Mus musculus: one gene and its partners. The protein of the gene in region 5 interacts with the protein of the main gene of each other region in a pairwise test. Links are inferred from orthologs where the notes say so. Each region holds a gene or a part of one and is shown on either strand. Other genes may lie near its edges. The genes, in order: Synpr, Ptdss1, P4ha2, Sfxn3, Creb3, Fis1 and Ndufb6.

What was found.
Region 1: the proteins of Creb3 (region 5) and Synpr interact in a two-hybrid assay, tested with the Homo sapiens proteins (2 studies listed by BioGRID and IntAct). The link is inferred for Mus musculus from reciprocal best matches to the Homo sapiens genes CREB3 and SYNPR.
Region 2: the proteins of Creb3 (region 5) and Ptdss1 interact in a two-hybrid assay, tested with the Homo sapiens proteins (2 studies listed by BioGRID and IntAct). The two-hybrid records come from large-scale screens. The link is inferred for Mus musculus from reciprocal best matches to the Homo sapiens genes CREB3 and PTDSS1.
Region 3: the proteins of Creb3 (region 5) and P4ha2 interact in a two-hybrid assay, tested with the Homo sapiens proteins (2 studies listed by BioGRID and IntAct). The two-hybrid records come from large-scale screens. The link is inferred for Mus musculus from reciprocal best matches to the Homo sapiens genes CREB3 and P4HA2.
Region 4: the proteins of Creb3 (region 5) and Sfxn3 interact in a two-hybrid assay, tested with the Homo sapiens proteins (2 studies listed by BioGRID and IntAct). The two-hybrid records come from large-scale screens. The link is inferred for Mus musculus from reciprocal best matches to the Homo sapiens genes CREB3 and SFXN3.
Region 6: the proteins of Creb3 (region 5) and Fis1 interact in a two-hybrid assay, tested with the Homo sapiens proteins (2 studies listed by BioGRID and IntAct). The two-hybrid records come from large-scale screens. The link is inferred for Mus musculus from reciprocal best matches to the Homo sapiens genes CREB3 and FIS1.
Region 7: the proteins of Creb3 (region 5) and Ndufb6 interact in a two-hybrid assay, tested with the Homo sapiens proteins (2 studies listed by BioGRID and IntAct). The two-hybrid records come from large-scale screens. The link is inferred for Mus musculus from reciprocal best matches to the Homo sapiens genes CREB3 and NDUFB6.

The regions. Positions count from the first base shown.
Region 1 is NC_000080.6:13,452,491-13,456,861, forward strand, and holds the start of Synpr (synaptoporin isoform 2 precursor), read left to right. Parts: upstream 1-1,467; 5' UTR 1,468-1,838; coding exon 1,839-1,862; intron 1,863-4,371. UniProt on the Homo sapiens protein: Intrinsic membrane protein of small synaptic vesicles. Probable vesicular channel protein.
Region 2 is NC_000079.6:66,995,252-66,998,907, reverse strand, and holds the end of Ptdss1 (phosphatidylserine synthase 1), read right to left. Parts: intron 3,562-3,656; coding exon 3,492-3,561; intron 2,091-3,491; exon of another isoform or gene 1,941-2,090; coding exon 1,831-1,940; 3' UTR 507-1,830; downstream 1-506. UniProt on the Homo sapiens protein: Catalyzes a base-exchange reaction in which the polar head group of phosphatidylethanolamine (PE) or phosphatidylcholine (PC) is replaced by L-serine. Catalyzes mainly the conversion of phosphatidylcholine.
Region 3 is NC_000077.6:54,099,663-54,103,872, forward strand, and holds the start of P4ha2 (prolyl 4-hydroxylase subunit alpha-2 isoform 1 precursor), read left to right. Parts: upstream 1-1,261; 5' UTR 1,262-1,378; intron 1,379-1,857; 5' UTR 1,858-1,985; intron 1,986-4,210. UniProt on the Homo sapiens protein: Catalyzes the post-translational formation of 4-hydroxyproline in -Xaa-Pro-Gly- sequences in collagens and other proteins.
Region 4 is NC_000085.6:45,053,590-45,056,899, reverse strand, and holds the end of Sfxn3 (sideroflexin-3), read right to left. Parts: intron 3,231-3,310; coding exon 3,181-3,230; intron 2,599-3,180; coding exon 2,551-2,598; intron 2,296-2,550; coding exon 2,199-2,295; 3' UTR 517-2,198; downstream 1-516. UniProt on the Homo sapiens protein: Mitochondrial serine transporter that mediates transport of serine into mitochondria, an important step of the one-carbon metabolism pathway.
Region 5 is NC_000070.6:43,561,210-43,565,514, reverse strand, and holds the start of Creb3 (cyclic AMP-responsive element-binding protein 3), read right to left. Parts: upstream 2,858-4,305; 5' UTR 2,703-2,857; coding exon 2,556-2,702; intron 2,466-2,555; coding exon 2,309-2,465; intron 2,235-2,308; coding exon 2,164-2,234; intron 2,047-2,163; coding exon 1,957-2,046; intron 255-1,956; coding exon 148-254; intron 49-147; coding exon 1-48. UniProt on the Homo sapiens protein: Endoplasmic reticulum (ER)-bound sequence-specific transcription factor that directly binds DNA and activates transcription. Plays a role in the unfolded protein response (UPR), promoting cell survival versus ER stress-induced apoptotic cell death.
Region 6 is NC_000071.6:136,960,777-136,964,992, forward strand, and holds the start of Fis1 (mitochondrial fission 1 protein), read left to right. Parts: upstream 1-1,300; 5' UTR 1,301-1,407; coding exon 1,408-1,452; intron 1,453-2,222; coding exon 2,223-2,355; intron 2,356-4,216. UniProt on the Homo sapiens protein: Involved in the fragmentation of the mitochondrial network and its perinuclear clustering. Plays a minor role in the recruitment and association of the fission mediator dynamin-related protein 1 (DNM1L) to the mitochondrial surface and mitochondrial fission.
Region 7 is NC_000070.6:40,276,515-40,280,654, forward strand, and holds the start of Ndufb6 (NADH dehydrogenase [ubiquinone] 1 beta subcomplex subunit 6), read right to left. Parts: upstream 2,908-4,140; 5' UTR 2,824-2,907; coding exon 2,644-2,823; intron 1,232-2,643; coding exon 1,139-1,231; intron 1-1,138.

The DNA of each region.
Region 1 (4,371 bases), on a different chromosome or scaffold from region 5:
TGGTAACTTTTCAATAAGCATATGCTAGTGACCATGATTGTGTGTGTGTGTGTGTGTGTGTGTGTGTGTGTGTGTGTGTGTGTGTGCTCAAGCACTGAGGGATAGGATCCTATGAGAATTTCAAAGGACCATAGAGTTCACAAAATTTGAAGATTTTAAGCATCCTGAAGACTTGCTTATTCATTGGGAACAAGATCTCACCCTGTCACCTGGAGCTGAACTTAGTGTTACACTCTTTCCCCAAGTGCTTGAGGCCCTGGGCTCTATCCTCACAATGGAAAAGACCAAGTGAGGAAGAGACAGCAAGCCAGAGTTCCTGTGCACACACTTGGACTTGAACGCACTGTCTTGTCTTTCATTCCTTCTTTACATCTCCCTACCAAGAACTGTGAAATGTTAGTGTGCCACTTTACAGAGGGAAATCTAAGGCACAGAGAGCTAAAAAGGCTGTCAGTTCTCACAATCTCCCAGTGAGAGGAGAAGCAGCAGGAGATTCCAGGTTGTTTCACTCTTACTCACATTTGGCCGGTGTTCTTTGGTCCCACCCTCCCCTTCTTCACAGGAACAAAAGTAGAGCTAGAAAATAACTGATGATGTTGTTACTATGTTGTGTCCAGATGTCTACATGAGAAGAGGAAAGAGACACAGACAGAAACAGAAAGAGGGGTAAACCTGACCCATGGCAGATTCTGGATTACATACCGTGGATTAAACACGTGGCAGTCTGTTGGCCTTTCTGTTGGGACATTAGTAGCTGAGCAATAGACAAAGCTGGCACACTAGACCTCTTACTGTGCTGAGCAGAGTGCTCACTCAGGGCAGAGGGAGTACAGACTTGCAGGATTCCCTCTGTAATTCAGTACAGATATTCAGGGGACAATATCCTTCAGTGGGTTAGACAATATCCTCAGGGCACCCAAGAGGAATCTCTCTGTGAAGGCTGGCCCACCCTCCCAGAACAATAGCCTCTGGATATCCAGACTGATGCCCCTTGAAGAAATGAGTGCCACTTCTTTCTGAAAAAAGAAAGAAATTTGAGTCTTGTTTAAGCCTCTGCCAGCTTTTTAATTTTGTGATTTTCACAAGTCTTCATTAACACTGTCATGATGAATGAGCACCAAGTTATAATTTGTCCCTTCCATAGTCCCCAGAGCCTGAAAAGCCATCTTCCAGTGCCATCACCTTAATGATTATTTATGGACAGTGCATGACTTTTCCAAATGGGTACCATGCATAACACCCATGCATTTCCATAAAAACAAGGGCAGTTTTTAAAAGCAAACATACATTTGCCTCATCTATGCAAATCTATTCCAGAGGATTTAATGAAACCACTGCTTCCCTGTACCCTAAACATGCAAGTTCCTGGCTTGTGTTCAGCTCACAGTTTGATTTTAAGTGCTGTGGTGAGAGGAGGGGGCTCTCTGAGTAAGAGGGGAGCTGGTGCCTTAGCTCATGATGCAGCGTGCTTGTGCAAAGCAGCCTGCACTTGCAGTTGTGAGCAGAGAGCCAAGTGTGGGAGTGCACAACGGAGGTAACGTCCTCCCCACAAAGCAGCCAGCACACAGCAAGGGAGTATCAGGTTCCTGTAGTCAGCTGTGGGCTGTCACTGTCTACTAATATGACTGTCTTCCCATCTCTCTGCAAGAAGGCAGAAGCTGCTATCTGATTGGTATAGCATCTGACTTTCCCTCTGCATTGATTTCTTGTCCTTTTCCTTTGCTTCATAAAGAGAGGGACAAGAGCTGGTGCTGTGGACAGAGAAGCTTCATTTTTAGTATGAGACAACCTCTTTATTTTTTCAGGAGAGGGAAGTTGGATTATCAATTCTTTTGTAAATGTGTATGGTGATATTTGCTCCGGTAAGTTTATCTCTATTGATTTGCTTTTCTCACTCTCTGTCTCTCTCTGTCTTTCTCTGTCTCTCTGTCTCTCTCTGTCTCTCTGTCCCTCTCTCTTTGTCTGTCTGTGTGTGTGTGCGCGCGCGCTCGTGTGTGTGTGTGTGTGTGTGTGTGTGTGTGTGTGTGTGTATCTCTGTCTTTCTCTATGTCTCTGTCTATCTCTGTCTCTTTCTCTTTGTATATATACATGTATAAGTACATTTGGGGTGTATAATTTTCTTTACCAATGTGATTTTTTAAAAAATAATTGGTGATAATGTCTTTTTCCCCTTTAACTTTGCTTTCTTTTATGCATGTTTAAACCACAGAGTCTGGGTTATATAGTATAATTCTCACGTTAGCTACTAAAGTATATACTGGGTTTCTGGGTTTCTTTTTAACACAGTAAGAAACTAAGCAAAGTTATATTAAGCTTCATAAAAATGTAATGCCATTCCATCTCAGCCTTTTTTTTTTTAGGGCACTTAATGTTCTGAGTATATTCATTGTGCCACAACTTGCCTATAATTTTAATTAAAGTTTCTTCACCAGTATCACTGTGAGAATATCTTCAACTCTTTAAATAGCTTCCAAATACTATGTTAAATTCATAAGGTCTTATACCAAACTACAGTTAAGAAATGAGCTGCCCCTCCAATTCTGAGACATTTATTAAGAGAACTGAATTTCTACACCAAAAAGTATCCATATTGTTAAAGTAAATCTCTTGCACTGTATGAAAAGCTGGGCTTCACATGGCCATTGTTTCTTTTCTGACTGTCTTGGGTGTTTGTGCCACCATCTGCCACATGCCTAGTGCTGAGTCTAGTGTGGCCATGGCTCAAGCTAATCAGGAGGAAAGTTGCTTTTATTAATTCACACTGATGCAGAATGGGTTTTCAGTCACATCTGTTCAGATTCATGATTTCTGAATGCATCACCTGGTTAGCTGAAGGCAGAGGATGGTCTGGATTCCTTATTGTTAATTCAGAAGTCTGGGAGAAAATCTATTAATATGATTACAGTAGATACAGATGGTAAGACGATTAACTACTTGTGCTAATGGAAACAAACACACTTTACTCTTTTCTTTCTTTTTTTCTTTTGTCACACAGCAAATCTACATAGCTTTTTTTTTTTTCACAGTAAATGAACTACAGAATATATTTGTAACAAAAGTTAGGGTACCTATAAATCACAAGTGAAAACCTGGCAATTTTTAGACTTTTAAAGTAAAGTTGGGAATTTCAATTAGAACTCTGAGGCACACATTCTTTTTGAGTGACAGTTTTTTGGGACTGTGACATGGTTTCAGATAAACTCTAAGGAGAGAGTGATGTCTACCCAGGAATGAACTGACCCGCCTGAGTGCTGTCTTCAGGGTGCCCTGCAATGCACCTGTTACTTGCATGCTAACACAGAGCTGCTCATTTTGATGATCAGTCTGAATTTTGATTACTGTAGCTTCAAAAATAAATTCCCCCCAAGTCACCTAACTATTTCTATTGTCTGATCCCAGTGAATGTGTTCCCAGGACAACTTCAGAGGTCATATATACTACAGGAACTAAGTATGCCTTAGCAGGTAGGTTGTTGAAAAAAAAAATCAAGCATGGCTTTCATTCTTGAGCCCAGTGAAAGCATTAGGAGTGGGCAGGCCCTGTCCTCTCTCCAGCACACACAGCTGACTCCCTTCTTCCTCGCTACATCCATTTTTGGATGTTATTCTTTCAGAGCCAGTGGTAACAAGTTGCATGTAAAGTCATGAGCTGTAAATGGAGTTGTCACCATATGAAGCTACTCCACAAGATTAATTAGTAGAGTTTGAAGGAATGGTGAATTACAAGTATCTGCTTTCTTCTTTGTCAGCTTATTATGAAAGACTCAGGGTTCCATACATGAAACCACTGTCACTGGACATCAGTAACTTCAATAAGTTAGTATTGTCAACCATTAGTTTGAATTGGGATAAGTCTGCATGATCTTTAATTGTATCCCTCCTGACAAGTCCTGAATACCATGTCCAGAAAAGTTTGTTGTAATCTATTTTAAGGAACAAAAATCCCAATGCTGTGGACAAAAATAGTGAAGTGGTTTTGAATTTTTCCACAATGAAATCTTCTTTTTGTCTTAGCAAAATGAAAAAGGCCTTGATTGTTTCCAGTTTGTAAATACACACTTTGGCTTATCTCTCCTCGTCTTCATAGCCACTGAGAAGAGGCTAATCTCAGCTCCTAACTTTTAAGATAGGAAAATGAGAACAGAGAATGTGTGCAACTTGATAAGATGACACAATGATGCACATGAGATGGCGTGAGTGGCATGTTCATCCTCCGGTCAGGGCTTCACCTTGTCAGCATAACCTATGGGAAGCTCATAGGCCACGGTGATTTTCAGGCACTTAACCATAACACAGCACGTTTCCACGGGTATCTTTTCTTCTTCTGACAATAGATAACCTCCTTTTCCTCACACTGTGCTTTTGTAACTCC
Region 2 (3,656 bases), on a different chromosome or scaffold from region 5:
GTCTACAAAGTGAGTTCCAGGACAGCCAGGGCTATACAGAGAAACCCTGTCTTGAAAACCCCCCCAAAAAAGCCTGTTTTGTTTGATGGAATGTGAGGAGAGAGCCAAATCTCAGTAGCAGAGCCCGTGTCTAGTACACAAGAGGCCCCAAGTTCAATTCCAGAACTGCAAAATGAGGGATGAGGAATGATAGGTACCTCTTTGTTCCCCTTTAAACAGGCTCATGGAACACTATGGCAAAGTTTAGAGCTGTGGCCTGCCATAGCCTCTTGGGGTGGACCAGTGGACATGTGTGGCTGGCTGAGAAAGCAAGTCTGTGGGTGGCTCTTAACTCAAGTGTTCACCCAGAGCAATAACGGTGAGTCGAGTTTTTCTTCATGATTGATTTAAATCTCTCATCTGGGAATTCTTTTTCAAAAAAGAAAGGAAGGAAGGGAGGGAGGGAGGGAGGGAGGGAGGGAGGGAGGGAGGGAGGGAGGGACAGAAAGAGAGAGAGAAAGCAAAATAAAACATAACTTTTATAGTTCAAAGACTCCCTTTAAGGAGGCAAAGAAACAGAAATCATCGTGCTTTGGTGAGTGAGCAGCAGGATTGTTTGTAGCAAGTTTGTTTTACAGCCCACTTGTCTGAGAAAGAAAATCCAACCTAGTAAGTAAGACCATAGTGACAGACAATGCCCCTGCATACACTTCCATTCCCTGTGGATCACTCTGGAAGGTTCAGATAGGACATATATGTGTAAGCCCCTTTAAAATATATTTTTTCTTTTTTCTTTCTTTACCATATAGAACACACATACATACATATTATCCTAAGGTCAACTGCAAAATATGAACTTGCCTCCAAGTAGTTAAAAGACTAATAAGATACAAAGAAACATCATTCTAACAAAGACAGATCATTGATGAGCTGTTTAATGTGAACTGATATATTTAAAACAAGGATCCAGGGTAGACAGGGAGAATGTTTTAGTAGAACATGGCACAGATGAAAGTTAATTAATACCCACTAGCACCTCACATGAGCCAGAAAGACAGAGTAGGCAAAACATCACAGAGGAAAAACCAAGCACATGGAAAAGGACCCTGGCAGGGAGCCCCACTGTCCCAGATCCGCTCGCAAGGTCGTTCTTGTGCACTCAGTCTGGACAGTGTCTGGAAGGGAACAAAACAGTTCTAATCTGAAGCCGAGGCTCCAGTGCCAGCAGCCAGCCTCTTCACTCCGGCTGGGGTCATCTGCCATGTGGCTGGGGACTGAGTATGCTTAGCTGGGACACCAAAGCTCCTTCCACCCTTTGTTTCTCTAGAAGGAACCCTCCCCCAATTTCAGCAGTGGATTCTGGAAGCTTTGAAGCTATTTAACTCAAAAACATGAAGTAAAAGCAGACTCTCTGAACTTAAACAATCAATCAAATGGACAGGCAGACTCATAAAAATAAAACCAAGCGACCAGTTCATTAGCCAGTTAGTTAAGTCAACATCTGAATGAAGACATTTATACAACATCCACAAGACACACCAGCAGAGAGCCACTGCTGGCAGCTGGGAATAAACAGCTATCCTGTCCTTCCAGCACACTGTATTGCTACCAGAGAATGCAGGCCATACGCTGAAGTTTAGAGACTCTTCCAGTTGGCAAAGGACCCCGAGCCATGGTCAGCCTAGTGTGTGTCCAGGTCTATGGGAGACAAGACTTACACTCTCAAGTCACGATCCCCTAAGCTCCCTCGGTTCTTTCCGTACATTATGATCTCTGCATAGGAAGGTCCAAATATGCTGTTTTCCTCTCGGGTCTAGGCACTCTGGAACATCTGACATTAACTAGCTTCCTTCATTTCTTTCCAACTCCATTAGTGACTTTGGACTTAGAATGCCGGTTCCTTCTTCTGGAAGAATGGCTTTCGTGGTTGCTTGAATGCTTCGGTGGGCTGTCTTCAGAACCTGCCCAAAGAAAGCCAACACATTATCACCAGGGGCCTCTGGGCTTTGTGGCTGACTCCTGGGATCTGCCATGCTTCTCAGCTAAAATCCAATTCTTACTTGATGTCCCTCTAGTGGCCCCATTAATAAATTAAGGCCAGGGGAATCTGACAGTCTTGTCTATGCCTTGTGTGTACCAGGTAACTGTCCCATAAAACTGGAGTTCTAAGTAATTTTTAGTCTGGGACACAGTCATGAGGACCAGAAGTGAGTTCAAATGAAAGCATAAACATTAATAAAAGTTCAGCCACACTGGTAGGTATCCATCTTATGCTTACAGCTACAGTATAGATTCCCCAAGTCTGTATACACTGAACGGTTAGACAGGCTTTGTAAGGTCTCAGTTGGAAAAGATTCTTGACTTTATAACTTTAAAACTATTAGCAGAGACATCAAGATCTTTACAGGCAAGGTACCTGATGCTCTGAGTGACAGCCCTGAGGTGACATTGTAACACTAGGGCTACTGTTTCCTCTGATATGAGGATGTGGCCAGCCCCTAAGGGAGTGGCTAAGCCTAAACCCTCTCTTCTTCAGTGTTCTGGTTCAGTTCTGGGTGAAATATTTACCAAAGACAGCCACTTAACGCCACTCCCCAAAGGCCCAGAAGCATTTTGTCTTCATTCGAAGTATTTGTCACAGTCCCAAAGGTTCTGAAAAGTTTCTCCTCTCTCTCTCTCTCTCTCTCTCTCTCTCTCTCTCTCTCTCTCTCTCTCTCTCTCTCTCACACGCACACACACTTCATATGCTGCATCACTTGCACACATAAATTCTTTCTATTGGAGAACGAGGAATGCCCAGGGCTGATTATGTAACTGGATGGGCCCAGAGAAGGTCAGTCTAGTGAACCCCTTTGGCCACACAGGTCAGCAGACTGCAGGGTGCTTGGAAAGCAAGCAGAATTCACAACACCAGCTCCCCAGGGTTATCTCGAAGCACAGGTTGTAAAGGAACTGACAGGCCTTCCTTAACCACTGACCACAGTGAGTTCAGTCTCTCAGACCCAGTTTGATTCCCCAAGTCATGATTTTCACAAGACCTTAAGTTTACTGGTCTCTTCACTGTCAATGGTACATATATTTATAAATTTCAAAAACCCAGTGGCCCTAGACTATTACAAAGTGCTTCCCAGAGAGAGGCCAGTTGGGGGCCTGCTCACACTGTTCTGCATCTGGAATAAAATTCATCAGATTCTTTTGAAAATCTTTCCCTTTGGGCACACAGCTCTCTCTAAGAATTTCACTCACTCTGAAAGCCTAGAGTCAAGAAGACCTCATTACTTCTCTGCCCGAGGAAAGCAGAGGCCAGCATCGTCTTATCTCACAGAGCATACTTTTGCCTCTATTCTGTGAACACTGTGTGAAGTGACAGGTGAGATTTGATGAGCAGTTTGAGACACTTCAATATATTCACCAATGCTCAGAAGACGAATACTGACCCCAAATCTCCACAGTAGGCCTGAGGATGGAGAGGACTCAATAAAGTTTTACACAATGAACAAGACAGCTGTTACCTTTGGAGCCTTTCCCATGATGCCAGGAGATCTCTGGACTGTAAGTGCCATCTTCACACTCTGAATAGGTCTAGAGAAAGACAAAGGTTTAGTGGGTAATTTAGGTCAATTTTTCGAGGAATAGCAGAATAATAACAACAACAACAACAATAACAACAACAGTGA
Region 3 (4,210 bases), on a different chromosome or scaffold from region 5:
ACAACTGGACTGTAAAAAAAAAAAAGATTAAAGATAATTTAAAAAAAAATAAAAAAGAGCATACACCATGTAAGGGTGATTTAACAACGGTAAAGCAATAAACATAATACAGTAACTGTTGGGGGCTGTTGTGGAGCTAGAAGGTCTGAGAGATAGGCCAAGAAGATGGACTTTGCTTGCTTGGTTGGCCAAGGAGAGATGCACAGTGGGTGGTAGAGTGGGGTGAGGGTTATGTTTCCATAGCCATGGATTGAAGGTATTTATAGGCCAATGGGAAAGATCCTGTGGAGAGGGGGAGGAGGAGGAGGAGGAGGAGGAGGAGGAGGAGGAGGAGGAGGAGGAGGAGGAGGAGGACCACTCCGGACAGAGAAGTGGGCGGGCATGGGGAGGATCTGAGGATCTGGGCAAACTGTACTTTCTGTGGCATAGCAGATGCAGAAAGGTTTGTGCATGGTTTCAACTGGGCTCTTGGCTGGTAGCTGCCACAGACACGGACAAGTGGCCAGGTAGTATTTTCTGAGTTGTTTCTGTGTGTCTGTCTTTCCTAGTCTGGGCCGTCTGCCTGGTCCATGCCATTATAGGGAAATCCACACCAAACTCCAGGCACAGTCCCACAGGCCGGGCATCTCCGTTCTGGGCTCTGCTCCCTGATGAGATTCTCAGACTGCTTCCCCTCATTCATGGAGAAGCAAGCTTACAGGGCAGGCGTGGGAACCTGCTCAGCTGCCAGAGCATCCTTCAGTTCAGATCGAGGTCGGTTGCTTCCCTGTCTTCTTGACTGTGTGTGTCTCAGACAGAGCTGGTTGAGGTGTCCAATCTCATTGGCCTGTGTTATAAGCCATAGGTTGGCCCTAGGATGAGATGCTCCAGGCTACGCCAACTTCTCACATTTACAGAAGAGCCGAAGCCTGGCTAGCCTGAGCCCCTCAGAGAAGCAGTTAGGCTTTGGAGATGGGTCATCTGGAGAGATGAGGTGCGCTGACATCTCAGACCCTTGTCTTTTCCCTCCCTCCACTCCCCTCCCAGGATACTCAATTCCCGATCTTAGTGACGCCAGCCTCCTGCAATTTGCCGGTGGTAATGGATGTGGGGGTGGTGGGACCACAGAGGGCTGGAGCAGGCTGGGATGGGGGCGCCGCCCCTGGTGCCGGTCCCACGCGGCGCAAGGAGGTGTGCATCGCATACGTGCAGCGCGTGGCGGCTCGGGCCTTCCCGAAGGCTCCAGTGGCTCGGAGCCAGGCCCGGGCGGGCCCGGGGGGCGGGAGGTGGGGACGTGGCGGAGGCTCAAGCGGGCGGAGACTGTGACGAGGGCGGAGCCGAGAGCGCCGGGGCGACGCCGCGGGAGGTTCTGGAAACGCCGGCTTCTGCGCGTGTTCAGGTGAGCGCGGGTCCGCAGGGTCGTCGCCGGGCTGGGCTCGGGTCCCGGTGGCCGGGCGGTGCGTTCTGCTCTGCGCGGAGCCGGGAGCTGGATCCGGGGTCCCTCAGCCCCGTGCCCCGCGTCCGGCGCCCTGATTCTGCACCCGCCTGGGTTCCTGTCCCGCCCGCGTCCCTTCCCAGGGTTAGGGCGGTGAGGTCAGCGGTGCCCTTCCTGCCGGTACTGTTAGGCCGGGCCGGACAGGACACTTGGCGGGCTCCCGGGAAGGGGCGACCTGACCCCGGGGTCGCCCCCCGATCTAAGGCGGAGGCGCCCGCCTGGCCCCGAAGGCGGCGCTGCTTAGGATGAGGAAGACCCCTGGCTCCCAACCCTGGCAAGGACCAGCTTGGTCGCTGCCAGTTTTATGGGCTCTTAAATCAGAAACTCTCCTCCTATCTGTCAGAAGACATCCTTGTCGAACCTCTGATGTTTTCCCTGAGCAGTTTCAGAGACCGGTGGCGATTGGCTGACTGATTCAACAAATAGAGCATTCTCTGTGCCTGGAGACTTTCAAGGACTGAGGCAGGCAGAAGGGAAGACTCAGAAAGTTCAGGTCCAGAGCATCAGCAAGGTAAGTACTGAGTTAGTGTGGAGTTTGGGCTGTGTGGACTTGGTAGATGTCTGGATGCTTCCGGGCAGGAGACATGGGCTGGGGTGGGAGGCTCCGGTAAACTGGATTGGTCACTTAGGAACCTGGACTGAGGAATCACCCTGAGTGGCCGCAAGCTTGGGCCAGTATCACGTCTGTGGTACAGTAGTGGAATCAAGGTAACGGAAAAGGGCCGCTTTAGGGAATAGCTGTCCAAGGGCCCCACCCACAAGCAGTGAGAGATCTGCATGAGGAAAGTCCACTGAGCCCTTGCAAGGTGAGCATGGGTCTGGGTACTTCTGTCGCAGGATTTTACTGGGAAGTACAGGTGGGTCTTCCTGTCATCTGTATTCTAATGTGTCATTTACTATGCTGAAGGAGATCATTGAATTGCCCCCTACAGCAACTCTGCTGTGCTCTCAACGCGCTAAGGAGTCTCAGTACAAGAGAATCATTGGGGAAAGGCCTCCAGCCAACTCACTCCATCCTTGCGACGTGGCTTCCCTGACTGGGCCACACAGTGGATCCTTACCCTGAAGAATGACACTTTAAGGATTTTGCTTCTTAATGCAGGCCATCTCGTTACTGACACCTTATCCCTCCTGATGGAAGAGCTTCCTGGAACTAAGAGCAGGGTCCCAGTGCACCACTTTGTAGCTTCTGACATCCTCAAACGTTCTCAGCTTTGCAGAGGTCTATTGTCTAGCTCAAAATTTATAGGGTGATTTTGCAAGTTGTTGCTTGTTCTGAATTTATATCACATCCAAGTCAGCCCATGGTTGAGTGCCCTGTTAAATTGACCAGGCTTTCCTCTGGCGTGTATCTCCACTGCCTCTGAAGTGTCCAGGGTGTAGTCTCTCGATATGGTTCTGTGTGTGCCTCAAGGCCAGCCTCTCGGCTCCTCTCCATGTACAGAATGTTTGACCTTGGGATTCTTTTCTTCTTGGGCCTTCTTGTCCTCACACGAGCTTGTCCACTGTGTGGCCCAGCCAGTGAAGCCACATTGCTTGATGGAGTGAGTTGGCTGGAGGCCCTAGCCTGAAGATTCTGTCATATTGATCCTCCTTATTACCGTCAGAGCTCAGCAGGCAGATATGGTGACAACTCAACTGAAGCATTGTGTGTGACCTTTGGGAGTCCCTCCACATTGTCACAGGCTCTGCAGAGAGACTTACTTATCTATAGATTGGACTGCGTACAATGGACTGTGGGTTGTTCCTTGAATTGCATGTGCTTCATATCTGACTAGACTGGGCCTGGGGCTTGAATGAGGGAGAAGACAGGCGGTGGGGGAGGAGCTCTTTTTGCCCACAGGCAGCTCATAATCTCTCTGAGATCGCTGTTTAGCCCTGGCAGCTGCCTAGAGCCTAGGGAGGAGCCCTAGTGTGGGTGCTCATCAGAGGGAGACTGAGGCCCTGCAGCTCTGGGGACTGCGTGGAGTGAGGGAATTGAGGGCTTCCTTGTCTGCTGAGAAAGCTTCCATTTTTGACTGCATTCTCCCACATCCTTGGGAGGGTTTGAGGCTGGACCGAAGGCCTTGGCTGACTTAGGGCCACGTTGGCCGATAGTGTGCAGAGGCCTGGGGGGTGTGTCCCTGGCTTCTGGGATCTGTCAAGAGCTTAATTTTATGCAGATGGAGGTTGACAGCAAATGCTGCAATGCAGGCACGGGAAAGACCAGCAGAGTCCTGGAAAGAGGCTTCAACTTTGAAAACCATCATTCAAATCTAGTCATTTAGACCTTTGAAGTACCTGAGGGTGGGACACCAGCGTATCCCAGAGCAAAGGGAATTACTGAGTCCTGTGGTCTGTGGGGTTTGTGCTGGGGATGTGGAGTGAAGGATAGACAGACAGTTTTCCTTCTCAGCGAGAGCAGAGCAGGATGAGAAGGTCAGACTAGGCTTTTTTGAGAAGCGGGGTTTTGTTCCGCTGGTGCCACTGCAGGGCAGAGACTTTCGTGTTTGGATAGTGATTTTCCTGACCCTGATAGGATCTGTTTGAGCCTGGTACAGGTCAGCCTCTGCTCCAGACTTCTTGGTAAGTGCTTGCTAGAGATTGCTTGCTCTGTACCTGGCATTCCTGGGAGCCAGGGAGTGGTGGAGATCCCAAGGCCTGGTACTCTTGGGAGACTGGAATGAGTAGGTCAGAAGCATAGAACTATAAGAGATTTTGGAGTATTGGTTCTGCTCCCTGTCTTTTGCCAGGGAA
Region 4 (3,310 bases), on a different chromosome or scaffold from region 5:
CTCCTCAATCTCCTCTCTCTCTCTCTCTCTCTCTCTCTCTCTCTCTCTCTCTCTCACACACACACACACACACACACACACACACACAATGAAGAACCCTGGGGGTGATGGAGGGATCCTGTCGGGCCAGTTGCCACAGTGACCTGGTAAAGACAGAGGATGTCCCAATTCCCTACCAGCTTCGCTCTAATGAGCAGGCGCTTGCTGGCCTCCTCTTCCCTCTGTAAAGATTTCCTAGAGACCGAGGTCACCACCCTATGCCAGAGTCGTCAAGGAAACCAAAAGGCCATGAGCTTCAATTAATATATATGTGAGCAGTCCTCTTAGTGAAGATAGAAATGAAGCCAAGGGTATAGTTGCTAGCCAGAGGACCCATTTTGTAAGCTCAGAGAGCCCTCTACTGGGAGATGAGACTCCCTACAGACAGTAGGGGAGGGTTTGGGGAGGAGCTGAAGGCAGGAGAATCTCCTGGACACTTCCTTAGACAAGTGGGATGTGGAATAACTGAAGATCAAGAACCAGACAGGATTGCAGTTTATTGACACCATGACGTGACAGCTGTTGTCACTGGAAGAGGAGGTTAGTTTAAGTGGTCTCCGTGGATGTCACTGGGGACCCCATTCACCTTTTAGCTAGAGGTCATGGATTTGGCGTGGAGATATAATTCTATGCCCTGGAGTCAGTATCACCCACACCATTCCCGAACTCATCTTCTATTTGGTCCAGCTATTAGAGCCTGGGTCCCTCTTCCTTTTGAAATTAAGGGCAGAGGGAGTGCAGTGCCATGTCTTAAGAAAGAGACGGGCTGCTGGCAATGGTGGCACATGCCTTTTAATCCCAGCACTCACTGCCATAGGCAAGCAGATCTCTGAGTTTCAGGACAGCCAGGGCTACCCAGAGAAACCATAACTGAAAAACAAAAACAAACAAAAAAAGAAAGAAAGACAGACAGACAGAAAGACAGACAGACACATTCAGACAGAAAGGAAGGAAGGAAGGGAGAGAGAGAGAGAGAGAGAGAGAGAGAGAGAGAGAGAGAGAGAAAGAAAGAAAGGAAAGAAAGAAAGAAAGAAAGAAAGAAAGAAAGAAAGAAAGAAAGAAAGAAAGAGAGAAAGAAAGGAAAAGAGAAAGAGGGCACTGGGGATGTCGCTCAGTGGTAGAGCAGTTGCTTAGCATATATGAAGCCTTGGGTTCTTCCAGAGACGGGGTAGATGGAAAGGAAGGAGCTGAGGGGGGGGGGGTGTGTCTAAGAAGAGTCAATGAAACACAGAATTACCTGTCTTGATACTGTACGCTTGAGGCCTGTGTTTAAGCACCGGTCCCACACCAGCCCCTACAAGTGGGTACGGGTGGTGGCAGTTCCTGAAGGGAATGCTTGCTCTGCCTGTGTTGTGTGGCTTTCTGATTGGGGGAGGAATTGGAAGTGTGGGATTTCTGAATCATGACATGACTCATCAGAACAGACGAAGAATGCTCAAGATGGTCTCTAAAAGCACCCACAATGCAGTGTGGAGAGCAGTGCAGGCTACTGACACCCCCATGGTCCACCAGAAGAGAGGAGTGGAGCCATTCTAGGGTGTGGGGTCCAGCAAGCATGAGCCCCCTGCCTCCCTGATTCCACACTGCTTCCTCTACCAGCCCACGTCCTGAACCAGCTTTTAGAGCTGGTTCAAATAGCTGTATTTGAAACCTGAAGGGTTAAGCTCTGGGTGGCCTACGATGTTCTTCAGTCCCTGTTCTGGGATCCTGGGGCTTATCTTGGGCACAGAAGGCTAAGATGCTATCAGAAATGACTTAGCTAGAGGAACAGTTTAGGGAAGGAAGTCTCACCCATAACCAGGCTTGCTGTTAGGTGGGCAGGAGACTGAGAAGAGAAGACAAATAGCAGGACATCCTAGAACAGCATTTCTGCTCTTAGCTTCCAGGATGAAATGTATAAACACATGTGCTGCATATGTGGCAGTGCACACACACAAACACAGGAGGGATGGGTTTTGTGACTTGCTCTTTGAAACCAGAGAGGAGCGGAGAGGCTTATAGGAGTGCCTCCCCCAGTCTAAGGTTGCTGGTCTCAGTGGCTGCTCCCCACATCAAGCCCCCTTGCCCAGTACCCAGAAGATAAACAGGTGGTAGCATTGCAAGGTGGCATCAGAGAAGCAGCCTAAGGAGGTAAGGACAGGGACAGAGGCCGACTCCCCTCAAAGCCCCTTGTTGTAGTAAACCACATCGATGCTGGGGTTTTGTGCTTGGATCTGAGCTCTCAGCTCCGGCTCCAGCCTGGTCACATGTATGGAGCTGCAATAGAACAACACAGGCTAGGTAAATATACTCCGGGCTCAGTGTCTCAGACCCAGGAGCTGGCTTCCCTCCACTCCCCGGTGAAGAATCTTCCCTGCTTTCAGAAGGGCTGGCTCACTGTTACCCCACCCCCACCCCACCCCCCACCCCGGGCTCCCAGATGCTCCTGTCAGACCTCCCGGGAACACACTGCGGGCCTGAGATGCAGAGTCCCGGGCAGAGATTCTGGTCAGGTCCAGCGGTGTCACTCACCTTCTCTGAGGGAACAGAGCGCAGCACAGGGGTGTGGCAAATACCAAGCTAGAGAAGAAGAGCACAGGAAATGTCTGTGACACTGACTTTTGTGTCCCCTCCCTGTACCCCACCTCACAGGAATAGCCCCAGGAGTGAAGCCTTATTTGTTTGTTTGTTTGTTTGTTTGTTTGTTTGTTTGTTTTTGAGCTCTATCCCAGCCATAAAGGTTGGAAAATGGAGTCAAAGGACCATTCAGGGATGTTAAACTCAGTCCTGATATTAGATCCTGTCTGGGGAAAGAGCCTCTTGAGCATCAACCCAAAGCCCCAGGATCAGAGAGCAACAGGATCAGGGGTAAAATGGGATGCAACTCCTGGATTGTACCCTAGAGTCTACTTGTATGGGGTCCTCTGGTGAGTGAAGGCTGAACCCCTCAACTAAACTCTTGACTTTCAAAGGCAAGAACCCCTAGAGGTCCCCCCACCCTTCCAACACATGCGCGCACACAGATTTTGCACTATGGGTATCCATTGGAACTGGATATATGAACAATGTTATGTAAGCATCTCAAAGATAGTGCGCGCCCACCCACACCCAAAATGATAATGGCTTTCCCATGTGCCCCTACTGAACCCTTTGCAAACTTACCAGAAGCCTACCAGTCCCACCTGCAGGGGCGCCCCCAGCCAGGGACGGCGCTGTGGGGAGACAGAGACAACAGAATGGCTTGTGTCCCATTTTTTCCTAACTCCATCTACCTTTCTGCACCATGGTTCTA
Region 5 (4,305 bases):
TGCACCTTGTTCTGCAGCTCCCGATTCTGAGCTGTGTATTTCAAGACCCTAGAGGACAACATGGATGTGAGGACACGTGGATTTCAAAATATTGTGTCTCCTCCCTTCAAGACCCTCCAGGCTTCCCCCGTGTCCATCCTTGCTTACCTGCTCTCCAGCCCCACGACATACACCTTCTTCTTCTTGCGGCTTTCTTGAGCTGCTCTCTTGTTACGAATCTTCCTCCGCACTCGTTTCAGAACTTGTTCCTCCACCTAAGAGAAGATGGGGGAAAGGTCACCCACAGTATGTTATTATATGCCTGTATGTTATACCTATATATACTACATAGGTATGTTGGAAGACAGCTAACCTTCTTCCCAATCAAATACTCTCCACAGCCTCTCTGTCAGTAGGCATTTACCTTCTGTGTGAACACCAAGGAGCAGATATTCAACACTAGAAAGCCAGACTTTTTATTATTTTTTATGTGTTTGGGTGTTTTGCCTGCATGTCTGTATAACGTATATGTATAATGGGTGTGCCTAGTGCCCACATAGGCTAGAAGAGGGTGTCAGATCTCCTCGGATTGTAAGCTGCCATGTGGGAGCTGGGACTTGAACTCATGCCCCATGGAAAAGCAGAAAGTACTCTAAACCACGGAATCATCTTTCCAGTCTCTAATTAATTTTAAAAATTCCACTTAAGCTAGGTGTGGTTGTACATGCCTGTAGTATCAGCACTTGGGAGGCAGAAGAAGGAAGTCAGGATTTCAAGACCATCCTTGGCTAGGGTAGTTTTTGAGGACAGACTGAGCTACATAAGACCATGTCTCAAAACTAACAACAACAACATCTACCCTTATCCTAAAGCAACATCAATCTTCTTATAATTTCCATTCATTTGATTTTCCTAGAGTCTCTAAAGTGATATAGAATATATCCTTATCTTAAGGTACTTTCAACTTTTTTTCTTTCAGAAACTAAAACTGAATAAAGTTAACTCTTACATTCTCTGATAATGCCTGTCAAACTTGGACACTAGCCAAGAGTGACATCATACACTTGTAATCTAGTCCGAGGGAGTTAGAAGCAGGAGAATCAGGAATTCAAAGGCATTCTTTCCCTACTACATAGTTTGAGGCCAGCCCAGCCTGGGTTTACAAGACCCTGCCTTAACAACAAGGGCCAGAGGGCGTGGCTCAGCAGTGAGCATTGATGAACATTCATGAGGTACTGTACTCCAATCCCAGTGGGTAGGGGAATTATGGCATGCTCTGGCCAGTGTAAAGGAAGACAAGACAGTTACTATCCTAGGGACAGAACCACTATTGATAATTTCCAAGTTCCGTTTCCTTTCCTCCCAATATATTGCTCATTCATCTTGTAATAGTGATAGAGGGATAGGGGATGGTTTCTCACATAGCCCAAGCTTGCCTGAACTCAACATGAAGCTAAGTCTGTCCGTTAATGCTGATCCACCTGCCCCAAATAAGTAAATATCTACATATCAGAAGTAAGACAATATTAAAAAGGCAAATGACATTAAAAAAATTTGCCACAAAAACTAGATGCAGTATTCTTGTAATCCCAGCACGTGGGAAGTGACTTTGAACTTGTGAAGACCTTCCTGCTCCTGCCTCCAGAGTGCTAGGGTTATAGAGGGGTGCACCATCATGTCCAGCTTTGACGATTGTTGATGTTGTTAGACTGAGTCAGCCTCTCAAGCATTTCTACCACTGAGTATGATTCGAGGTCCCAAGATAACAACGGAAGCTATCAAGGCCCTTCACTTTCAAGGCTCTGTACTAAAGTTACATTTAAAACATTATCTTTTGACGTGGGTGTGTGTTTGGAGATGAGAGAACTTGTAGGAGTTGGTTTGTCCTTTTGCAAGTGATTGATATGAAACAAACTGAGCTTGCCTACTTGGGTTACCAACCCCCTCCAGCCTTTGCTCTACCAACAGGAGCCTTACCTTAGTGAGAGGAAGGGTTGAGGGCAGAGTGAGCCCCTCCTTCTCCAAGAGCTTCTTCTCTTCCTCGGTCAGTATCAGCCTAGACATCTCCTAAGGATGGAGGAAATAGTGAAGAGAGCAGAGTTGCATGGAGCTCTCAGAGCAGTATGGGGGATCTTGGCTGCTGCAAAGTGAGGTAATCCTGAAAAAAAAAATCAAGTCCAGCACCTGTTCCGCTGCTCTTTCCTCCCCTGGCAGTGGAGTCACGTGGAACCCCTCCTTTTCGAAGCTCTCAGTATCTGCAAAAGGGAAAGTAGAACCAGCTAGCCCAGTGAGCTCTCTCCTCCCCCACAACTTATCATTTCACACTCACCTAGATCTATGGAGACGTGCTCCTGTGGAAGGGAGTAGTTGTGATCATGGAGAATGGAAGAGCTGGAAGAGCCGAGAACATCCCGCGATACTGAGGGACTGAGCAGAGAGCTCAGTAAATCCTCTACCTCCCAGTCGCTCAGTTCTTGCACGGAGTTCTATCAAATTCAAAGGCCTTGATTTATTTCCGTACCTTGGGTCTCGCGGACATCCCTAGCTTCCCCCACTGGGAACACCCACCCACCCACCTCGGAAGGTGACAGCTCTAAGTCCAGCGGAGCCTTCACGTCCGGCTCAGTCGCAGCCCACAAATCTCCGCTTTCCTCTAGCAGGAAGCCCAGCAGGTCCTGATCACCGGGATCCAAAGCTAGCAGATCCTGACCACCAGGATCCATTTGGGATATCTATGGATAGAAATCCCTCCGCGCAGATCCAACCTCCGAACCTCAGGCACGACCCCTCAGTCTGTCCAGTCGGCTCGACTTAACCTCCGTCACTCCGGGACAAGGGCCTAGCTGTCACTCTAAACCGCACCCGTCTCTCAGCTTCTGTATTCCTCAGCTTCCAACACAACGGAAGTGGTGCACATAGCCCCGTGGAATCCTGGGACTTGGAGTTCTCTCCAACTCGGAAGTGGCTCCTGGGCTGCGCCACGTCCCGGGGGCTATGCAAATTATGGGGACGTCCTTTCAAGCTTCCCACGCCCCAGGGCGGGGATTCTGAGGATCCTTGTCCGCCTTCGCCTCGAGCTATTAAAAAAAAAAACTTAAGCGTTTAAAAGGGAACTCCAGCTTAGTTCGGGCGTTCTCTCCAGAGCTCTGCACGCTCGCTTCCTGCTGGGGAGGGGCGGCCAGGCTTCGCGGGCGCCCGAGCATCGAGAACTACGGCCAGAGCAGCTTCCTGCAGTCTCCGCTACCATAGAGCGCGGGCCCAGGGCGCCGCCGGCGGGTGGGGGACGTTTCCAGGACGGAAGTGGCCGAGAGTGTGTCGAAGGGAGGGCGAGGCCGGAGCCCCAAAAGCGACCGGGAGAAGGAGCGGGTAGCGGGCCCAGGGCGGGGCGCAGAGCCGGGCAGCGCAGGTAGGCCGGACGGGCTGGGCCGAGCTTCTAGGTGGGGCTGCGGGATCGGGCCAGCCCGGGAAGCGGCGGGCGGGGCCCCCAATCCTCCTGCATATCCTGTGTCTGGTTAGGGAGGTCAGGGTCCAGTATGTTTCGGTTTGGATTTGGAATTAAGCTGGCCTTGTTGCGAGAAGCAGGCCCTTTCGCGGGGGTAGACAGTTCTCTGTCTCGGCTAGGTTTGGGGACGGGTAGAAATGGGGTGGCAGTGAGGCACTGGGTGGCAGTGAGGCACTGGGCGGGGATGGGCTTTGGTATTAGCCGATAGTGAGTAAGTGGTTAGGAAAACTTGGGGTGAGTTTGGGTTAGGTGCCGTCGCGTTTAGGAAGCAAGGATCCCTTTAGAAGTTAAGAAGGTGAACTACATTCTAAACATTTGCTGCACGAGTCAAGTCTGTTTCGCATATGTGACATTTAAACTGAGGTCATTATTTTCTGCAATGACCAGCATTAAGTCAGAGTACAGGATCGGGTTAAGGATCAACAGGAATTGGCTTAGATGCCCGTTTTAGGGATTAAAGGCCGGTGTCATGGTCAGTATTAAGAATAAACAGTGAAAAGGTTAATTAAGAACCAAGTTACAAATGAGCTTTAGAACTGCAGGGTGGGGTGGGAGGGAGTATTTAGGGTTAAATTTGGGGGATTTGGGCCTAAAAATAAAAGCCAGATTAGTATGGGTGTCTTCTGGGAAAGGGGTGAATGTCAATGTATAGGGAAATAGGAAATAAAGTCAGCATTAATGTTAGGAATTGGTGATAGCGTTAGGGGTTGAGGCTGCAGCTACAGCTGAGCTGGTAAAATGTAAGAAGTTGGCAGGAAGTAGCTACCTTTGTTTTGTAGTGAGTTCTCTTATTCCTGTGCAGTTACAGAGGCCTCTTTTACCCA
Region 6 (4,216 bases), on a different chromosome or scaffold from region 5:
CACAGGATACCTCAGACATACACGTCTATCTAAGGACGAATAGCCATAGGCCAGGAAGAGAGTAGGATCCCGACAAACTGCAACCCTCACTCCTGTGAGGCCCAGGCCCCAGCCTCAGACCTTGCCAAGTCTGCCTGTGGACAGTGACACAGAGCTGACATTCCTTTTGCCCTTTCACCCAGGCCTCTGAGAAAGCCTTGGATTGTCTGGCTCCCAAGAAGAGTTCCTACCCCAGGCTGGACTCCAACTTGCTAAGCCAAGGATGATCTTAAACTTCCTCCTCTTCCTGCCTCCACCTCCCAAGCGCTAGGATGAAAGCCTGCATGACCATTCCCCCTCCCCACATTAGATGCATAAGGATAGGAGTTTTCTTTTTCTCAGTGCCAATCCCTGTACTTAAATAGTGACCGACACTTAGGAAATGCTCAATCAAAAATGAATGAATCAACCAATAAGCAACGGCAGGGCTAGAAGATAGATGTTCTGAATAGCAAAGACGGCAGGCACATGCAGAGTGCCTGTGATTACTGGAGGTTTCAGAATCATAGGGCAAGGGACAGCGAGTGTGCTGGCTAGTCCTCTGTCAGCTTGACACCCAAACTAGAGCTCTCTCAAAGGAGGGCCCCTCAATTGAGAAAAATGCCTCCATGAGATCTGGCTCCAAGGCATTTACATAACTGGGGGAGGACCCAGTCCATTGTGGGTGGTACCATCCCTGGGCTAATGGTCCTGGGTTCTATAAGAGAGCAGGCTGAGCTGGGTGGTGGTGTGTGCCTTTAATCCCAGCAATCAGGAGGCAGAGGCAGGCGGATCATGTGACCCAAGTTTTCCCCTTATAGCTGGAACCCAGGCAGTTGTGAGCTATGTGGGGTCTGGCAACAGAACATGAGAGCCATCCATGGGCCTTTAACCCTGGACTGTGTTTCCTGGGTTTTCTTCAGAATCCTATTAAGAATGGCTGTCCACTATGGTCATGTGACCCAAGTTTTCGGAGGGGGGAGGTGGGGGAGTGCGTGGAGCATGGAGAGGGTATAGCTACCAATTCCTCTTGCTTTATGAGAGACTGAGCATCTCTTTGTGAGAGACTACACTGAGACCCTCCGGCCCCTGGTACTCATTAGGATTTTATTGCAAACATTGAAGATAATCCAGGGTCCTAGAGTGAGGGGTTCTTACACTGGTTCCTAGGATAATGTGATGCAGGGAGGATCTAGGACATCAGGGGAGTCCAAAGAGAGCAAAGTATCCCAGCGTAGGCACTAGTGCCCCCGCCCGCCCCAAGGCAAAGGAGGAAGGGGCGGGGCCTCCACAGGTCGATGCCGGAAGTGCCTCTCCGCCCCTGCTACTGGACCATGGAGACTGTGGCCCAGTAGAGACCTTAGTGTGAGGCTTTCAGGGGCGGCGGCCATGGAGGCCGTGCTGAACGAGCTGGTGTCTGTGGAGGATCTGAAGGTAAGGTCTGGGACGGAGGAAGGAGAAGGGCAGAATTGGAAAGGGCAGTTCCTGAGGAGAGCTGACTGAGGCTAACCAGTGCCGGTTTCGTCTTTCTTGGCAAGCTGAACTACGGCTCCCAGCAGCCTCTGCGGCATCCTGCTTCTTGTGGGAATCGGCTTCGTGTCCCTAGGCCTGACGGGAATTGTAGCTTCCCGGGTTTCAGCAACTCAGACCTAGGCCTGGGGTCTTAGTGTGATGCAGAGCTGGGAATTTGGGGTACTCGTGTGCAGGGATGGAGTAGTATAGTCACTGGTGTAAATTTTCGCTAGTGTTTAGTTCCTCACGGTGCTATTTTCACCGCATCCTTGTAGCTGTGTTTTCTTTCCTCTCCTAGAATTAAAGTAAGGCAGATCCAGGCCCAAAAGAGTAGGGTGGGACGGGACCAGCGGCCTCAAGGGAAAGGCCATGTAGGAGGTCGTTTAGCTCTGGGACAGTATGTTTACTCTTCAGACACTTGGGGTCAGCTGGTTTGGGAGCAGTGCCTCCAGCTGCCACCAGGTGGCATCTCCTCTTGGTACCACTAGGGGCTGGGTTCACGGACCTTCCGAAGGGGAGGACACAGCATGGGACCCAGGGGTGGAGATGACAGAAGCTTCGGGGTACCAAGATCTACAAGGGAAAGGCGGCAGGGAGGAAAATATGATCTAACTGGGATTCAGACATCAAGTTAGCTGGAGAATGATTGCTGCTCTTTGTTGCTAAATGGTCACTCTTCTCTCTAATGACAGAATTTTGAAAGGAAATTTCAGTCTGAGCAGGCAGCTGGTTCTGTGTCCAAGAGCACGCAATTTGAATATGCCTGGTGCCTGGTTCGAAGCAAATACAATGAGGACATCCGCAGAGGCATCGTGCTGCTGGAGGGTAAGGCGCTGGGCCCCACTTTCCAGCCGCCAGCCAGCCTGACCTCTACTGTGCTTGACCTCACCCCTCCAGGACCCTTTCCAACACAGAACCCTCACCTTACAGCACATTTGTCATTCAGTAACCACCAGTAACTTCACTTGGAGAAAGGGCTAGATTGATTCTCTACGTCCCCAGCATCTGAACAGTCATTCAGATGGAAAATGCTGTAGGAAAAAATGCTCTCAGGCTGGGGAGACTCAGTGCATCCTGTCCAGGCATGAAGACCTGGGTTCAAATCCCCAGCACCCACAGCAGCAGCTGAGTGTGGCCATCCGAGTCTGTATAGAGAGTAAGCTGGAATCAGCTAGAGATGGCTTGTTGCCATCTTAGCCCAGGTTCAGTTGGAGACCCTTTCTTTAGGGGATGCTGTGGAGTGTGAAAGCACTGGCCGTCCTCTGACCTCCATGCTTCCATGTGCACACACACAGTGTACACAAAACACTTCTGGTATAGTTACTAATTGCCGTTAATATAGTGTTTACGTTGTATTGGATAACAGTCATTTGGAAAATTCTAGAGATTTAGAATATCTGAGGGGCTAGTGGTATCAAGGCTGTGTGACCCCAGCACTACAAAGGTGAAGACACAGGAACATAGTTCAGTAGTCGAACATTGACTGTGGAGATAGAGGCAGGAAGGTCAGAAGTTCAAGGCCAGAGTCAGCACATCCTGACCAAATTTGAGGTCAGCCTGGGCTACATGAGCTCCCTGACTCAAAGAACACTGCATCTTTGGGGACTATAGGTGCATTCTATGCAAACACCGTTTAATTTTATAGACGGGCCTGCCGTCTGTGCACTTTGAAGTCTGGGGGCTGTGTTGGCATAGTCCCAGAGGCTGTCAAGGGACGACGCTGGGAACAGAAGACTGCTGTATCATTAGTCAGTTGACTTTGACACAGGACCTCTAACCTGTGCGTCCTGCTTCAGCTACCTCAGTGCTGCGAGTTCAGGGGTGCCGCCAGCTCTGGGGTCTCTAAAAGCAAATACTGTCCCCCTACTTTGATCAGTTTGGACTTTTAGGTTTCTTTTACAGTAGAGCACAGCAGTGGGAGTGGTGTCAGCATTTGAGTCCTGTTTGGAGACACAGTGCAGACCCTGAGGAGACTGTAGCACTGCACAGCTATTTAGTGCCGAAGTGGTGGCTGCCGCACCACGGAACTCCAGCGCTAGAGAGGCTGGGGCAGCCTGATGGGGAGTTTGAAACAAGCCCGGGCGGCATAGTGAGTGCCTATCTTAATACCGTCCTACGGGGATACACACACACAGAATGAAATGAAAAACAAGTCAGACAAGGGTCACTCAGGGAAGATGAGTTATAGGAAAGGGGGGCAGGTTGTGGGCCTAGAGTGGTGATTCACACCTTTAATCCCAGTAGTAGGAGGAGTAGCAGAAGTAGGAGGATCTCTGAGTTTGAGGCCAGCCTGGTCTATAGAGTGGGTTGTAGGACAGCCAGGGCTACACAGAGAAACCCTGTTTCAAAAACAAAACAAAAGCTCAGTCTACGGAGTGCATGTTTGCTGTGTATGAAGCCCTGCTTCAATTCCATTCCCAGCACTGCATAATAAGCCAGCCGTATCCCAGACCATTCAGGAGGTGGCAGGAGGAGCACAAGTTCGGGCATTCTCAGCAAGATGAGTGTCAGGCGGGAGGTGACCTTGCAGTAGGACCCATGGCTGCCAGTGGGAATGCACCCATCCATACAGACTGCGGGGCTGGCTCCTGGTCTCCACCACAGGTGTTTGACAGGCTTACGGCTGTCTCGGGGCTGTAACTGGGAAGCTGCAGGTGATAGAAACTGGTAATGGAGGTCCAGGACC
Region 7 (4,140 bases), about 3.3 Mb from region 5:
ACAGTTTCTGTCTGCCTCATGGCTGACCACACTGAGATGCTGCCTGCTGGACTGTAACTTAGAGAGAGCCCTGTTTCCAGGCCTTCTTAATGGACAGACTTAGTGACCATGCATTCAAACACACGCCCACATTCACATTCGTGGTTATTTCTCCATCTACCTATGAATACACAGTAATAACTATGAGTTCATACAAACACTTCCAATTCTAACTCCATTCTCCAAGGTGTTCCCCTGTTCATGTAAATAACTCCATTCGATCAGTGCACTTATTCGATCAAGCTCCTCCCATCTAACAAATGTCCTGTCACCATCACCACACCTTGTGATGTTGAACCTCCTCACCTTATTTGGGTTCTGATGTCTTACTCCACCTCAGGTTCCTTACTTGACTCCCTTCTCGAATTCCAGTATCCTATCCCAGGTTGCTGGCACTAAGGCTCCCCAAATGGACGTGCTCAGCCTACTCTAGCAACTCTCACTGGACACAGAACACCCCATTTACACTATCTGAGTTCCAACACTCCACACTACTGTTCCCCTTCCATGATGTCGCAGAAACCACATGCCCTTCTCCTACTGCCTAGGATCCAATAGAGCGGAACAACCACACTGTGCTGTCCCTTGTCTTTAAACCACGGCAAGGGGCTTTAGTCAACCCATGCAAGATCTTCCCATGAAAAAGTTTGTGGTTTTTGGATACCCTAGATTGTAAAGGAAGAGAATTACGAAAAATCAGATAAGGACAAGGAAAGGGAACTGAGACATGGCAGACTTGTTGGAACGTTACCACATAACGGACTGGTCTAAAGAAGCAGCAGAAGTCATCTTTATACCTGCTCAGGACTCCAGGGTTAGATAGACATGCTGACCATTTAAACACTACTTCAAGGAAATGCATTGCAAAAGGTATAAGCTAGTGTAAGAGTAATTTTTTGATTTCTAAGTTTTGAAACTACTTGTATATAAGAGTACTCAGAATTCAACTAAACCTTTACCCACCCACCCCCAAAAATTCAAAGAACTTTAAAATCAGCTTAGCATGGCATATTATTTTCTGAGTATAGCACAGCCACAGGAAATTATTGGATAATATTAAAAATAAGTTCTGGACAGCATACATTTAAAGTATACTTACAGCCATATGATATTTGACATAATAGTGAACAAACCACATAGGTATAAGCACATGAGAAACAGCGAAGAGACTGGAGCGGTACGCCTTAAAGACCTGCGGGGGAAACACATACAAAATAAGCAAACATCCGCTCTTTACAGTTTTATTTTTTAGATTTATTTACTTTATGCATGTAAGTGTTCTGTCTGCATATATGTATGTGTACCAGGAGTATGCCTGGCGCCCTCAGAGCTCAGACAGAAGAAAGCATCAGATGCCCTGGAACTAGAGTTACAGACAGTTTTGAGCCACCATGTGCATGCTGGGAACCAAAACTGGGTCCTCTGAAAGAGCCAAGTGGTCTGAAGCAGTCACCTCTCCAGCCTCACCCCACCCCTCACTTGAGACAGGGTCCCAAGCGTTAGCCAAGGCTGGCCCGCCTCCCTCTGCAGAGATCCTCGGCTATCCTCCTGCCTCAGCCTCTGGAGCTGCTGTGATTACCAACATGCGCTGCTTACTCTCCCTAGCATGAGCTACCTTATTTTTCAATGTGTGTGGAACAAAAACCAAACCAACTAACCAAACAAAAACATTCCACCACTACCAACTATGTGTGATAATTATTTTACAAATTTCTAAATGGAACATATTTCCTGACAGATTGGGGCTGACCTACCAATTTCAGTATTTTCACTAACTCTGAGGCTTCCTATAGAATATCCATAGATTCTAAGACAGAATAAGCACCATTCTGCAAGACATAAGGCATTGTTGTTCAAGAAACCAACCAACCAACCAAGACTTTGTACAACTACTACTTCTACTTCTACCACAATTACTGGAAGGAGCTGAAAGCAATTCCCACACAATGTTCGCTACTCATCATTGATGTGATTTAATAGCAGTCTCCAAGAAAATATCTGGAATCCTTACAATAAAAAGCAGTCCTTGAGTGAACGGTTTTTCTGCCTGGAGGTCATGGAATGCAATTTAAAAGTAACTAAAAGTGTGTTAAACGTACACAGTGATGCGTAGAAAGGGAGCTTTAGAGTCTGACAAAGCATACCAAATAGAACCCTGTCTTCTGTTGCGACCCCATGGGGCTGTACTATACCAGCTGGCCAGTCTCTGGCACCTCAACCCTACCCACCGCGTAAGTGTTCTCAAATACTGAAATCACAGCCTGTGATCTCAGTTAATTCTGACCAGTTTAACCCGAGAAAAGGTATCTACACTCGAAAGAACTGCATGTGCGGCGAGCGTCTTGTAAAACCTAAGACCCGACTTCTCAGTACACCTGACAGCCACCTGCTCCTGGACTCCAGACCCCAGCCCTGAACAATAGCGACCTGACAGCGTCTCCGCTAAACCTGAGCCCCTGGACTGATTGTCCCTTGGGGCCCTCCCGGGTATGCGGGCTCTGGACAGGGTTGGGCCTTGATGGAACTGAGAGGAGTGGGCTGGGAGGCTTGGCCAGGCTGCGACCCGGGGTGGGAACCCGGACACCCGTGTGGCTCATCACTCACCATGTTCTTCCACACGGCCCCGTCCCGCAAAAAGTTATCCCAGAATCGCTCCAGGGGCCACATCCTGCGCGGGGGCAACACGGGCTCCCGGGGACTCAGCTCCTGGTCCTTCAGCCATCGTCTCCTTAGCTCCCGCAGCTGCTGCAGCCGCAGCTTCTCATCCGGCGTGTACCCTGACATGTTGCCGACGAGCCTACACAGGACCGGTCACTGACCTGCCCCTCCCGCTCCGCAAAGCGACCTTGAGGCGCCTGGAAGCGGCGCGGAGTGATGACGCCACACCAGCCCCGCCTCTGGGGGCGGGCCGACTCCTTCGCGGAAAGCAGGCTCTGCTCATGCGCAAAGCCCTCTCTTGGACCCTGGGTTTTAACAACCTGGGTTAAGTATGAGCTCAGGAAGGTCCCTGAGTTAAGAACTAAGTGGGCGGTGTTGGAAAGTGTGAGAAGTCCTGGGGCTAGGGTTCAGAGAAAGAACTTGTAGGGGAGGGGACCGGAAGAACAAGGACGATGGTTTAGCGAACCTCTGCCTCGCCCCCTTGAATTCTCTTCTTGACCGAGAGACACTTGCGTCCGAATTTGGCTCCCACCTCTTTCGTAACCCGCTAAGTAATCTTGAGCGCCTATCTCGGTTTTCTTCCCTCTCTGTACTGCAGAAATAAAGAGCACCTTATTTGGGAGGCTTCCATAGGCTCGCTCACTCTTTGATTCTGCCGGCCCACTTTGTAAGACATCCCAAAGGTATGGCAGTAAAAATTTGTAGGGGTGTGCACGAATATTCGTCACAACACGATATGTAATAGCAAAACATTGAAAAATCACCTCCCAGATTTCAGAATAGAGGATTAGTGGGAAAGCTTATAGTACTGTAAAGCATTGGTATGCTACTGCCATAAATGAGCCTTCTATTCATAACTGGAGTAACTTCTACAATCTATTGATAAGTTAAAAAAATAAATAAGTAAATAAAACCAACTACACCAAGTATGCTACCTTTTATCCAAAAGCAGGGAGAGTAGTAGTGATACTAAATATATATACATGCTCTGAAAATTTTAGAGTAATAAATGAAAATAATTTTGTTATTTGTATTTGGTTTTGGAGACAAGATCTCATGTTGGCTTTGAAATTGCTATTTAGGGAGACTGGACTTAAACTCCGAATTCCCCTGCCTCCACTACTCATGAGCTAGATGAAGTACACCAGTATGCCCAACCTAACTACTGCTTCAAACACCACCACCAATATTATATAGGGAAGATAGGATAGACACAAAAGTAGGAACTAGGGAGTTTGGAGGTGGCTTAGCGGTTAAGAACACTTACTGCTCCGTCAGAAGACTGAATTAGGAGAATCTAGCTACATGGTGGGGCTTCTGGAACCTGAGTGTTCTCCAGCAGAGAAGAATATGATTTATAAGGCTCTCTCTAGCGAACCAGAACTGGGGAAGTTTCTAAGACCAGTAAGCAACTTGATTAGCAGGTTTCTCTGGTCAAAGATG